Linked DNA regions of Arabidopsis thaliana. The protein of the gene in region 3 interacts with the protein of the main gene of each other region in a pairwise test. Each region holds a gene or a part of one and is shown on either strand. Other genes may lie near its edges.

Region 1 (3,763 bases), about 14 Mb from region 3:
TAAGATACATTTTTTATGGATTATATGGAAATTAAGATGCATGAAAAGGAAATTAAGATGCCTCACATTATTTCCACCATCTAGTCATTTATGTCGTCTTAGATTCTTTTATAAATCATATTCATATGTGACTAACACGTCTTCACATTCTCATTTGATCATGTTGCTTAAAACAAATATCTCATCAACCACATAAGCAATAAATGTTTTTAGTTTTTGTTTGATTCAGTTCATTAATATATAATTACATGTCCATCTTAAGCGTTCCGTTAATTATCACATTTTTAAACTCTATGTGATTAGTTGCAGTTTGCAACTTGGTTTGTCAATTAACAATAATGTATAATTTACATATCTGTTTTTTTTGCGATTTTTTTTTTTTTTACATATATGTATGCCTCAGCATGCATTGTTATTTGTTGACTCTTTGAACTTAAGTTGTGTCCAATTGTGTCAGTCATAAATATGAACACGTGTTAAATATTATAGAGAAAGATTTGAGTTTTTACAATCTTATAATCCACTCTCCATAGTTTATATATGTACATGCACGATCAGTTTTAACTAATAATCATAAACATATATGTACATGTACAATCAATCTCATATGCAATCAAAGTAAATATAAATTAAAAAAAATGTATATATGGATCTCGTTTAGTTTAAATTCTAAACGTATATTGTCGAAGGAGAAAAACTATAATTTTGTTTGTGTATATTGATTGATTCTTCAGTAATTTCTTCAACTATTCTGATATATATATATATATATATATATATATATATCTACTTGCAATCATAGTTTAAAGATGTTATTTCTGTTAGATGTTTAATCTTGTTTTTTTCTGTCAGTAGTCTTTAATCACGTGCCAAGTAAGCAAAACACTCTCATTATTTTAAAGAATGTTGATTAAATAAACATTCGATGGGCGATGGCTATTGGAAACTGGAAAGTCAGCTAAATACAACAATTTTCCACTTAACATTCTAATTATCTAACTATTAATTATTAATCATTGCTGCATGCCTCTGTTCAACTGTACAGGCTGTTTTCGAATATTTTGTAGAGTACAACTTATCAAAAAATCCCAAACTCTTTTATCTGACAATAATATTTTAAGATATAAGAAATAGTCATAGTATCATATTTTTCAAACTATACAATTTTTATAATTTCATTAAAAGGCAAAATAAAAACCAGGTTACGTAATTAATTTAATAGTCAAATGTTTGCTACAATAATATATTTACAATTCTAGTTACATCTAAGTGTAATAAAATTACAATTCCATTATAGATAGTATAATGGATGATAAAACTTTTGTACAGTTGATAGTAAGAAAATTTAATAAAATATAGGATATTAACAAGAAAAAAAAAACAAAAAAAAAAAAACACGTTAATGGGTAAACTTCGAAACTGAAATTTTTGTAGAAAAAAACAATCACATCATCAATGTATCTTTCAAAATAATGTTTTGACAACTTATCAGTCACTTTTAATTGGGTGTGTTAGAAATAGAGGTACAGTTTAAAGTTTTTATTAGGTTTTGGGTGGTAAGGTGTGTTAGAAATCAGTTTATTTTTTAATCAGTCATTGGTGGTGGTGGAAAATATCATTTTCAAATTTCAAGTAGCAATTATGGGTGAAATTTCTTGTATAAATTTCAAGTAGCAATTAATATATCTTTTTTTATATATAGAAAATTTACATTTTGGTAAAAATTTAAATTAAAAAAAGGAGCATGGTTATATCTTGAATCTTGGTATCTACGAGCATATTATTTAGATATAACAAACAAGTTGGGAATAGACAAAACAAAATGACGAACTTTCCAACGAAAGATCCCATTATAGTAATGTTATTCTTATTTATACTTATACAATCTCTAGTGGCTTCCAAAGTACACAAAATGGGAGTATTATACCAACAAAAATAAACGACTAATGAATCAAAAAATTCAAAATTTGCTTTATTTTATTCTGAAAATCTAACGAGCTGAAACCAAAATGTTATAGATTTAAAATAGAAACAAAACACCGATGATTGACCCAATAAAAAGCAAAATAAAGTAGACCAAAAAGAATAATGGTTATGCTGATAATTGAGGAGTCGTCGTCACTCGTCACATGAGAGGAACAACAAGAAAAGTCAAAACGTTGAAGCTTTCTCGAATAACGCCTTCTTTAGTTTACAGTCTCTCGTTGCGGGTCTTATCTTCTTCTTCTTCTTCCCTCTTTCGTCTGCTCTATATTATGACCAGATTCAAAATTGCGTAGCGTACTAATTCAATATAGAGAGAAGTTAGATCAAAAGAAGAACACGAAACTCTGACTGTGTCTCTCTTTCTCTTCGTGTGTTTCTATATTTATATATAAAAAGACAAGATCTCTGGTCTGGAATTAGAAGAATCTTATTTGGGGTTTTTTCTTAGGATTAAGCTCTAATGGCAGATCAAGTAAAAGAGCGGACTTTAGAGGAGACCTCTACGTGGGCAGTTGCTGTTGTTTGCTTTGTCTTACTCTTTATTTCGATTGTCCTCGAACATTCTATTCACAAAATTGGAACCGTAAGTCTCTTTATATTTCTCCTTATTTCAAGATTCCCCTGTTTCTTGCTCTGCTTTCTGCTCTGTTTCTTTAATTACTGCTCTGTTTTTTTGGATTTGTTTAGTTCTTCTCCTATCACTATCAACACTACTAAATCTGTGAGAATAACGAAAATATCTGATCATTCCTTTTTTTGTGCCTTAAACAGTGGTTTAAAAAGAAGCACAAGCAGGCTCTTTTTGAAGCTCTTGAAAAGGTCAAAGCAGGTAACTATCTTTTTCTACTTAACTTGATCCATTATCAACAAGCTTCTTATCTTTTTCTACTTAACTTCATCCATTAACAAGCTCCTGATTTTGTTTTCTACGTAACTTCATTCAGAGCTTATGCTGTTGGGATTCATATCACTACTACTCACAATTGGACAAACACCAATCTCAAATATCTGCATCTCCCAGAAAGTTGCGTCAACAATGCACCCTTGCAGTGCTGCTGAAGAAGCTAAAAAATACGGCAAGAAAGACGCCGGAAAGAAAGATGATGGAGATGGAGATAAACCCGGTCGAAGACTTCTTCTTGAGTTAGCTGAATCTTATATCCATAGAAGAAGTTTAGCCACCAAAGGCTATGACAAATGTGCAGAGAAGGTAACTAATAATCTCCCTTCTCTCTCTATATAAAAATCATTCTCTGCTTGTTAAACCGATGGAATTTTGATTTCTATTGATGGATTTACTCAGGGGAAAGTGGCTTTTGTATCTGCTTATGGAATCCACCAGCTGCATATATTCATCTTCGTGCTCGCGGTTGTTCATGTTGTTTACTGCATTGTTACTTATGCTTTCGGAAAGATCAAGGTAACTAACATTTCTTGTGACTTACGCAGTTGTTAAGGCGAGAAAAAGAGTGTATGCAAAAGATTTTTATACTTGTTTTCTTGAGTATTGCAGATGAGGACGTGGAAGTCGTGGGAGGAAGAGACAAAGACAATAGAGTATCAGTATTCCAACGGTATGTAAATATGTGAGTATTCGACGAAACTTAAAGACCTGAATGGGAATGAATTAGTCTTGTTATGCAGATCCTGAGAGGTTCAGGTTTGCGAGGGACACATCTTTTGGGAGAAGACATCTCAATTTCTGGAGCAAGACGAGAGTCACACTATGGATTGTTTGTTTTTTTAGACAGTTCTTTGGATCTGTCACCAAAGTTGA
Region 2 (3,326 bases), 3.5 Mb from region 3:
CTGTTTTAATAATTGAAGATATCAAAATATTAGTGGATGTTATATTGGCCATTTTTTTTTTATATCCGCAAAGTTTGGAACCAAACTCCGTAGATTTTCATAAACCAAAGTGAGTGAATTCACCGCTTCACAAATGAAACTTAAACTAGAGGGCTCTAGGATGACCCTAGTTTATTTGCTACTAGACCGAGCAACACTTGATATTGAACTAAACTTGATAAAACAGAGATTTTGATACACTCAACATATACTTTTATGTTGAGTGTATCAAAATCTCTGTTTTAAGTTGGTGAAGCGTGTACCCGACAGTTTCATGTCCACATAGCTCAACATTGTTGTATTTATTGATTTATGTGGGCGTTTCAATAATCTGTGTAAATCCAAGATATCATTGTCGTAAAAAAAGGCGAGGGTCAGATTTGTATAGCGACACTCCCCGTGAAACAGTTGTGCAATTTTACATGTTTACATAGAATTCCAAGTATTTAAAGACCAACCCTTTGGCCGATATATGTATAATTGTACATAACTAAATTCTATAAAACGTAGACGATAAAATCATAATGTGGATTTTATGCATGTCGTTAAATGGTATGGTGTTATTTAACTTGTTCATATATGTTTTTTTATTAACGAGTTTACTTGATAAATGTTATTCACTTATTTCACGTAATATTACGGTTATTATACAAGTTTAACAATCACATGGAAATATGTACTATTTACGATTTTTTCATCGCATTTTTTGTCAAACAAAAAGGTAGAATTAAGTTATAAAAAAGCCCTACATATCAAAAAGTTATATTGCTGAAGACGAACGAATAGTTGCCATGCTTAACATGCATTGCATTGGAATGGTCAAATAGAGATGCTATGAATATATGAGCTGTCCTCTCAAGTCAATTGTTCAATAACTCGTTATATTATATGTAATTTATAAGCTAATCATCACTGTCCTTTTCGTTTGTCTTTGTCATAAGATTGACAGAACCAATAAAATCTGAGGACGATTAAATTAATATATAAAGAAACTAGAGATTTAATATTTTGAACTGAATAAAAGTTATATAGATTACATGAAGGATCGTTGTCATTATCACTACCACAAAACTTTAACATCATTCACCGACAAATGGAAAACATTAAGCTGTTCACTTAATTAACACGCATCTCATATATTATTTCCCTCGTATATATTAAACTTTATAGATGAGATTTAATTTCTTTCAACTACCTATGCAAAATTTATTTTATTTGATGTTTTGTGACAATTATATTAATCTTTGATAATTAGTTTTGGTTAAACTTTTTTTTTTATTATCCATTTTTGTCAACCACGTAATTAAATTAAAAAAATATATCTTAATAGATTATCTAATATGAAAGAACCGAGTTTACGAAATTTCATTTTTAAATTAGTTTTGACTAATGGGTCTCTAAGTTATTACACCCGACTAAATATGTGGAGTCGATAAGTGATAGCAAGTTAGATTTACTTGTTCTAAGCTAAACTAACAAATATAGATAAGTTAAGTAGATTAAAACTTACATAATTGAATATTTACATGTTTGGAAAAAAAACTTGAGTAAAAGAAAAAAAACTTGATAAAAATCACTAAAAATTATGTTTACACTTGAGTTAAAAGCAAACATTTTATCTACATAAGATGATACTAATACAAACTAATGGCCTATATATATTTGTAATCCATGAAATTTAATTTTATTTTTGTAACAGACATTATGATTGTAACATTTTAATTTCTTTGCCCAAAAACAAAACATTTTATTTTTAAGTTATTCGACTTCTTATTTGTGTTCATCCCATTTTTTTGTTTCCAACCGATGAACAACGGAAGGTTGCGTCAAAACGCAAAGGGTTGTGTTGTTTGTGTTGAAGTGGAGCTCCTTCATTTTAGGAACAAGCAGAGGACGTTACACAATCAAACTCAGTTTCTTCCCTTATTTAACGTAACCACTAATTCTATTTTCTTGTTCTTTTACAAAGTTCATAAATGGAAATGAACACGTAAGAAGAAATAAAACAAAGTTCAAAACTAAGAAACAGAAAAACAAAAAAAAACATAAAAAAACATATAAAAAAAACATAAAATTACAGAAGAAAAAAATGGGTAGCTTCCTTGAGGTTCTTTGTGCAATCTTCATACCTCCTGTTGGTGTGTTCCTCAGATATGGCCTTGGGGTAAATTTTTTTCATTCATAAATCATAAAAATATATGACACATTTGACATTAATGGTCAAAGTAAGATCAAATCTCTTGTTTTTTTGTTTCTTTGTATATGTGTTTGCAGTTGGAGTTTTGGGTCTGTTTGCTTCTAACGTTATTCGCTTTTATCCCCGGACTGATATATGCCATCTACGTTCTCACCAAGTAGGAATAACCAATCAAAAACACTGGATCCTTTTTTTATTTTATAACTTTTTCTTTTTCCAACAATGTTTGCTTTTTTAGATTTTTTATGTTGTATTTAAGGAATCAGTTTTGTAATCTAGCAAACTTTTTGCTATGTTAGATGTATGTAAATTCCAGCAGTTTCCAAATTGCTGTTGTTCTAGTTTGCAGAGGTTATGGATACATTTTACGGATCATAAACAGATTTGGAAGATTGATGATATTATTATATGCGTGATATAAATTTTGAATTGTAGTAATACTACATCTAAAGAGTGATCAAATTATTAGTACCATTAGGAACTATAAAGTTCTGATAGAGATATTACATGGAGTCATCGATACACACAGTTTACTTATGCGTATAACGATAAATATAAACCTGTGTACATACATTTATAATTTTATATAGCTTCTGCAATTCCGATTTGAAGATTGCTTGAATCGAATACCGTGTGGTATAGGCTCCCATGAAGACGTTCCCAATAATCCCTGCATATACAAATTCTTTACCTCAAAGTGGTAAGCAAAAAATGTAAACAAAATCTATTGAAATCGTCCCATCTTACCAAAGAGGATCAATTGGTATAGTCAATGCTCTCCCATAATGAAAAAAATTATGAGCTACTTGGTTACAACAACGATTCGAATGAGAAAAATATTATTTTCTAACCTTAAATATCCAAGATATCGGTGTAAATTCCGATAATAGATGCGTCTATTAATCCATTGTTAATGCTGTCAATTAAGGTTTTTTGCAATCCCCTCTAACTCTCTAAGTGTACCTCGGTGAAACCTCGAATCTACTTTACACTAACTTTTAATTAGTTCGTACTAATTAACGAAAAAAAAACCTTTTAATTAATTCAGAAAGACAGAAACCAACTCCTTGAAAAAACAAATTGTTTTTCC
Region 3 (3,763 bases):
AGTGGATAGTATCCCCATCTGTTCAACACCTGTGGTTTCAGGAAACAAGCAGTGAGGTTTTAATGATGAAATCCAGCCACATGATACAGAACTAGTATTGGCAATAAAGACAGACCTTTAACTCTGCTCTATTATCAAATTGATCGACTCGGTCTGACATTCCAACTGCCATCTGAAATTAACATTGCCATTTCAGCACACAGCCAAGTGTATCAGTAACGTTTGTGAACTACTTTCAGAAGACAATGTTATTAGAGATGAGAGAGTTACATACACGTCTAGCATTTCTTAGCATCCGTATCACTTGGAAGTAAGTAAACCCATTGTAAAGAATGGCTCCCCAAAGAGGAGCGTAGAAAGTTAAAAAATGAACAGCCTGCAAAATTCAAGAGGTGATATGAGTTCCAGTAACGAAGAATAAAATACTAGTCTACATTCATCTGGCCCAGCGTTGCAACAAAAAAGTTCAAATGCCTTTTGATAGGCATTGAAATCTTTATGCTCAACTAAGCATTCTCACTTGCCTTTCCCTTAAGACCAGTTTGCGTCCAGCACCATGGCCCCAAATGTGAGTGGTTGTTACCAAAAGAACGTATGACAGTCACAACCAAGGAAGTCCCTGAGAAAAGTAACTAAAATCAGAGTCTTACTAAATCACCAAAGAAGATACTAACACATTCTAATCCTTAACCCTAGGTGGATATAGTAACAATTGAGAACCGAAACCCACGAGTATCATTTTACATACCCCATACATACAAATGAAACATTGCTTCCAAATCCTCCACATCAGTTTTATGCTTGACAACAGTACGATGAAGAGTGAAAGCAATTGTAGTTGTCCACAAGAACGAAGCAACGCAGAAGAAATGAGTAGTGTAGCCTTGTGCGTAACAAATGAACCCCTTTGAAGGATCCCTACAGTGATCAAGATGTAACAATCATCTTATCAAAATAATCTCAACAAGATTCACCAGAACCAATAGTAGTAGATAAACATACCCAACGATTAGGAAGAAACTGCAAAGCATATCCTGCAACAATTAAAAACATTGCCATTAGTCAGCAATAGAGCTCGAACCCTCACTACTCATCTCAGAACGCAATGGAACTTAACGTCTTAGCGATGTAACAATTCACAGTGAGAATAATCGAAGAAGAAGGAAGCAAAACAGTACATAATCCTAGATCTAGCACAATCAGCGAAAGGCAACAACGGGAAACTTACAGAGAGAGCAAGGTAGAAGACGAGCTTGAAAGAGAATTTTCGAAGTTCTTTGAAGAGGCAGTAGCAGAGAACGATGAAGGCTGAGCCGACGAATGAGAGACTCGAAGCGCCGGTGTTAATCGCCGTAATAATGCTGCGATCCCCGGCAGTTAAGCCTCCGCCGGCTGTGAGAACCGCCGACATTGTTATATGTGATTCCAAAACTGATCTGAGAGATTGAATTGACGATTTCCGCTGTTCGTGTTCGTCGTTTCCGTCGCGTGGTATCTTCCCCGACGGACGTTGCGTGGTGGGCTAACCTCTTACCCGGGTCGGATCGGTCGGGTCAAGTCGTGTCTTTTGAACCGGACTCCTCGTAGTGCACTTCTTTAGGCCCAGCCCAATGATTTTGTTAAGCATTAATTCATATATGCTATATTAATTATTAAAAACATTTATATGATGTTATTTACATGTCAAGTTATCACATATTTTTGGAAAATTTTAATTTTATACATGTATGAATATTTAAATTATACTAGGTAATAACTTATGTTATGCACATGTAAATATTATACTATTTAATTTTATAATTAATCTTATTTATAGTATACTCTATATAAAAATAAATATATATATATATATATATATATATAATATTATAACAAATTATGTATACTATTGTTTTTAAATAAATTATCTACACGACTATACTATCAATCACCGAGCACAAAAATACCTAGGCATGGCCTTCTGACCCGTTTTGCCCCTTTCAAGTAAATGAATTTTGGACTTGTTATAACATATAAAATATGATTATTTGCTAAATAACTTGATTTGGCTTATTACTTGCTAAATAATTTGATATTGCTTGTTACTTGTAAAATAATTGCAACTTGAATCGAAAAAAAATCTCATATACAATAGAAATTACAAAACATTCAAAGTTTCAAGCATCCTAAGCACAAAACATTCAAATAAAAATAAGTTATATATAAGCAAGTAATATATATAACAAGCTTGTACTTGCAAGTCATAAATTTATACTATTTATTAGCTGATTATTAACGACAATTATTTGTTTTTCAAAACGAATATAAAACACGTACGTAAGAACTAATAATAAGCAAATAACGAGCATTGGCTAGGTTGTCAGAATGTTGAATAGAGGCGGCGAATAAGTCTAAGTGGCATTGCTATCTTGTTGAGTTAGTATAGAAGTCCACGATTGCTTTTACGTTTTTGCGTTAGTTCTCAGAGAAGTTGTAGACTTCTATCTTGAAGTTTTGTGGACGGATCTTGGATAGTTTTGCTCGTGGCAATTAAGATGATGATTCCAGTTCTTCGGTTTTGTGGCAACCACACAATTTTCTGAGCTTCGCGGGTTCGGAATCGGTGTTTCTTTTTGCAATTTGGCTTTGACCACTTAGTAGTGATCCTTTGCATCTTGAGTTGTAATGTTGTTTTTATATTTACGTAGATTGCTTTAATCTGTTTCTAGTTTTCTCTGTAATTCTATCACAAACTAAAAATAGTATAAAATTTCACCTTTTACCAAAAAAAATAACAAGTATTAGTACCCTAATTTACGATAGTTAATGGCTGTAAGGCTAAAACTACCAAGCGGAGAAGACCATAAAAATTATAAAACATAAAAATATAATATAATTAGGTTAATGATGGAGACATTCTTCCACACATTGACACATATTGCTTCTCGTGTCCTCACTCTTTGTATATATAAGTTCATGGATCTCCCTGATTATTATTTATGTATTGCTTTTGGTCGTAAACCCCGTGGCTAGACTTATCACAATTCGTAATATAATTTACGTATACATGTTATAATGACTGTTTATTATATATATTAAATGATTTTCGTGTGCTAATTTACCCAATGACATATCATCTACTAAATGGCAACAAACGTACAAAAACCAAACAGACGAATTTTGTCAATCCACACAAAATTACATAAATTTAATTAGTACAGCAATTACGAATTATCTTCATACATTGAAATTTTATGATGGCTTGTCTAAACATGTTAGTTACGTTGCAATATTATCCCGACCCGCTCAGACTGAGAATTACATAATAGCCTTTCTATAGTCAAATACAAATAGTTCATACACGAGGTGATTGTTAGTAATACATTATTGTGAAGTACTGAAATTTTTTAGCTAATATTACTTACAAAATTCCTGGATTAATTCATTATCATGTCCGAATATATTCTAAAAAAAAACTTCTTGATGACTTAATTAACAACGGATCAAAAAATTTATTCGTTAAACCATAAAATAAAAAAAATGGCAAATATATAAATAAACATTTACTATGAGTCTATGACATACTAAATCATTGATATTGGCATAAATAACTCTGGAAATGTTTACTTCAATTGAGAGGTATACGGAAAAATACTCTTCCTCTAGGAACATGACCCATCATCTAATCCAATTTTCTAATTTGGATAATTTATAACACATGTCATTATCCTTTCGGTTTTATTCGATCTTTAGTTATAGTTTGCATACAAAAAGGGTACACCTG

Evidence for each region.
Region 1: the proteins of GCR1 (region 3) and MLO2 interact in a protein complementation assay, tested with the Arabidopsis thaliana proteins (one large-scale study listed by BioGRID).
Region 2: the proteins of GCR1 (region 3) and AT1G57550 interact in a protein complementation assay, tested with the Arabidopsis thaliana proteins (one large-scale study listed by BioGRID).

Annotation. Positions count from the first base shown.
Region 1 is NC_003070.9:3,802,554-3,806,316, reverse strand, and holds the start of MLO2 (Seven transmembrane MLO family protein), read left to right. Parts: upstream 1-2,083; 5' UTR 2,084-2,446; coding exon 2,447-2,569; intron 2,570-2,621; exon of another isoform or gene 2,622-2,757; coding exon 2,758-2,815; intron 2,816-2,930; coding exon 2,931-3,196; intron 3,197-3,289; coding exon 3,290-3,406; intron 3,407-3,499; coding exon 3,500-3,560; intron 3,561-3,630; coding exon 3,631-3,763.
Region 2 is NC_003070.9:21,311,612-21,314,937, reverse strand, and holds AT1G57550 (Low temperature and salt responsive protein family), read left to right. Parts: upstream 1-2,018; 5' UTR 2,019-2,128; coding exon 2,129-2,203; intron 2,204-2,313; coding exon 2,314-2,397; 3' UTR 2,398-2,681; downstream 2,682-3,326.
Region 3 is NC_003070.9:17,828,804-17,832,566, forward strand, and holds the start of GCR1 (G-protein-coupled receptor 1), read right to left. Parts: upstream 1,618-3,763; 5' UTR 1,412-1,617; coding exon 1,229-1,411; intron 1,035-1,228; coding exon 1,003-1,034; intron 919-1,002; coding exon 749-918; intron 620-748; coding exon 525-619; intron 377-524; coding exon 275-376; intron 173-274; coding exon 116-172; intron 30-115; coding exon 1-29. UniProt on the Arabidopsis thaliana protein: Together with GPA1, may regulate the cell cycle via a signaling cascade that uses phosphatidylinositol-specific phospholipase C (PI-PLC) as an effector and inositol 1,4,5-trisphosphate(IP(3)) as a second messenger.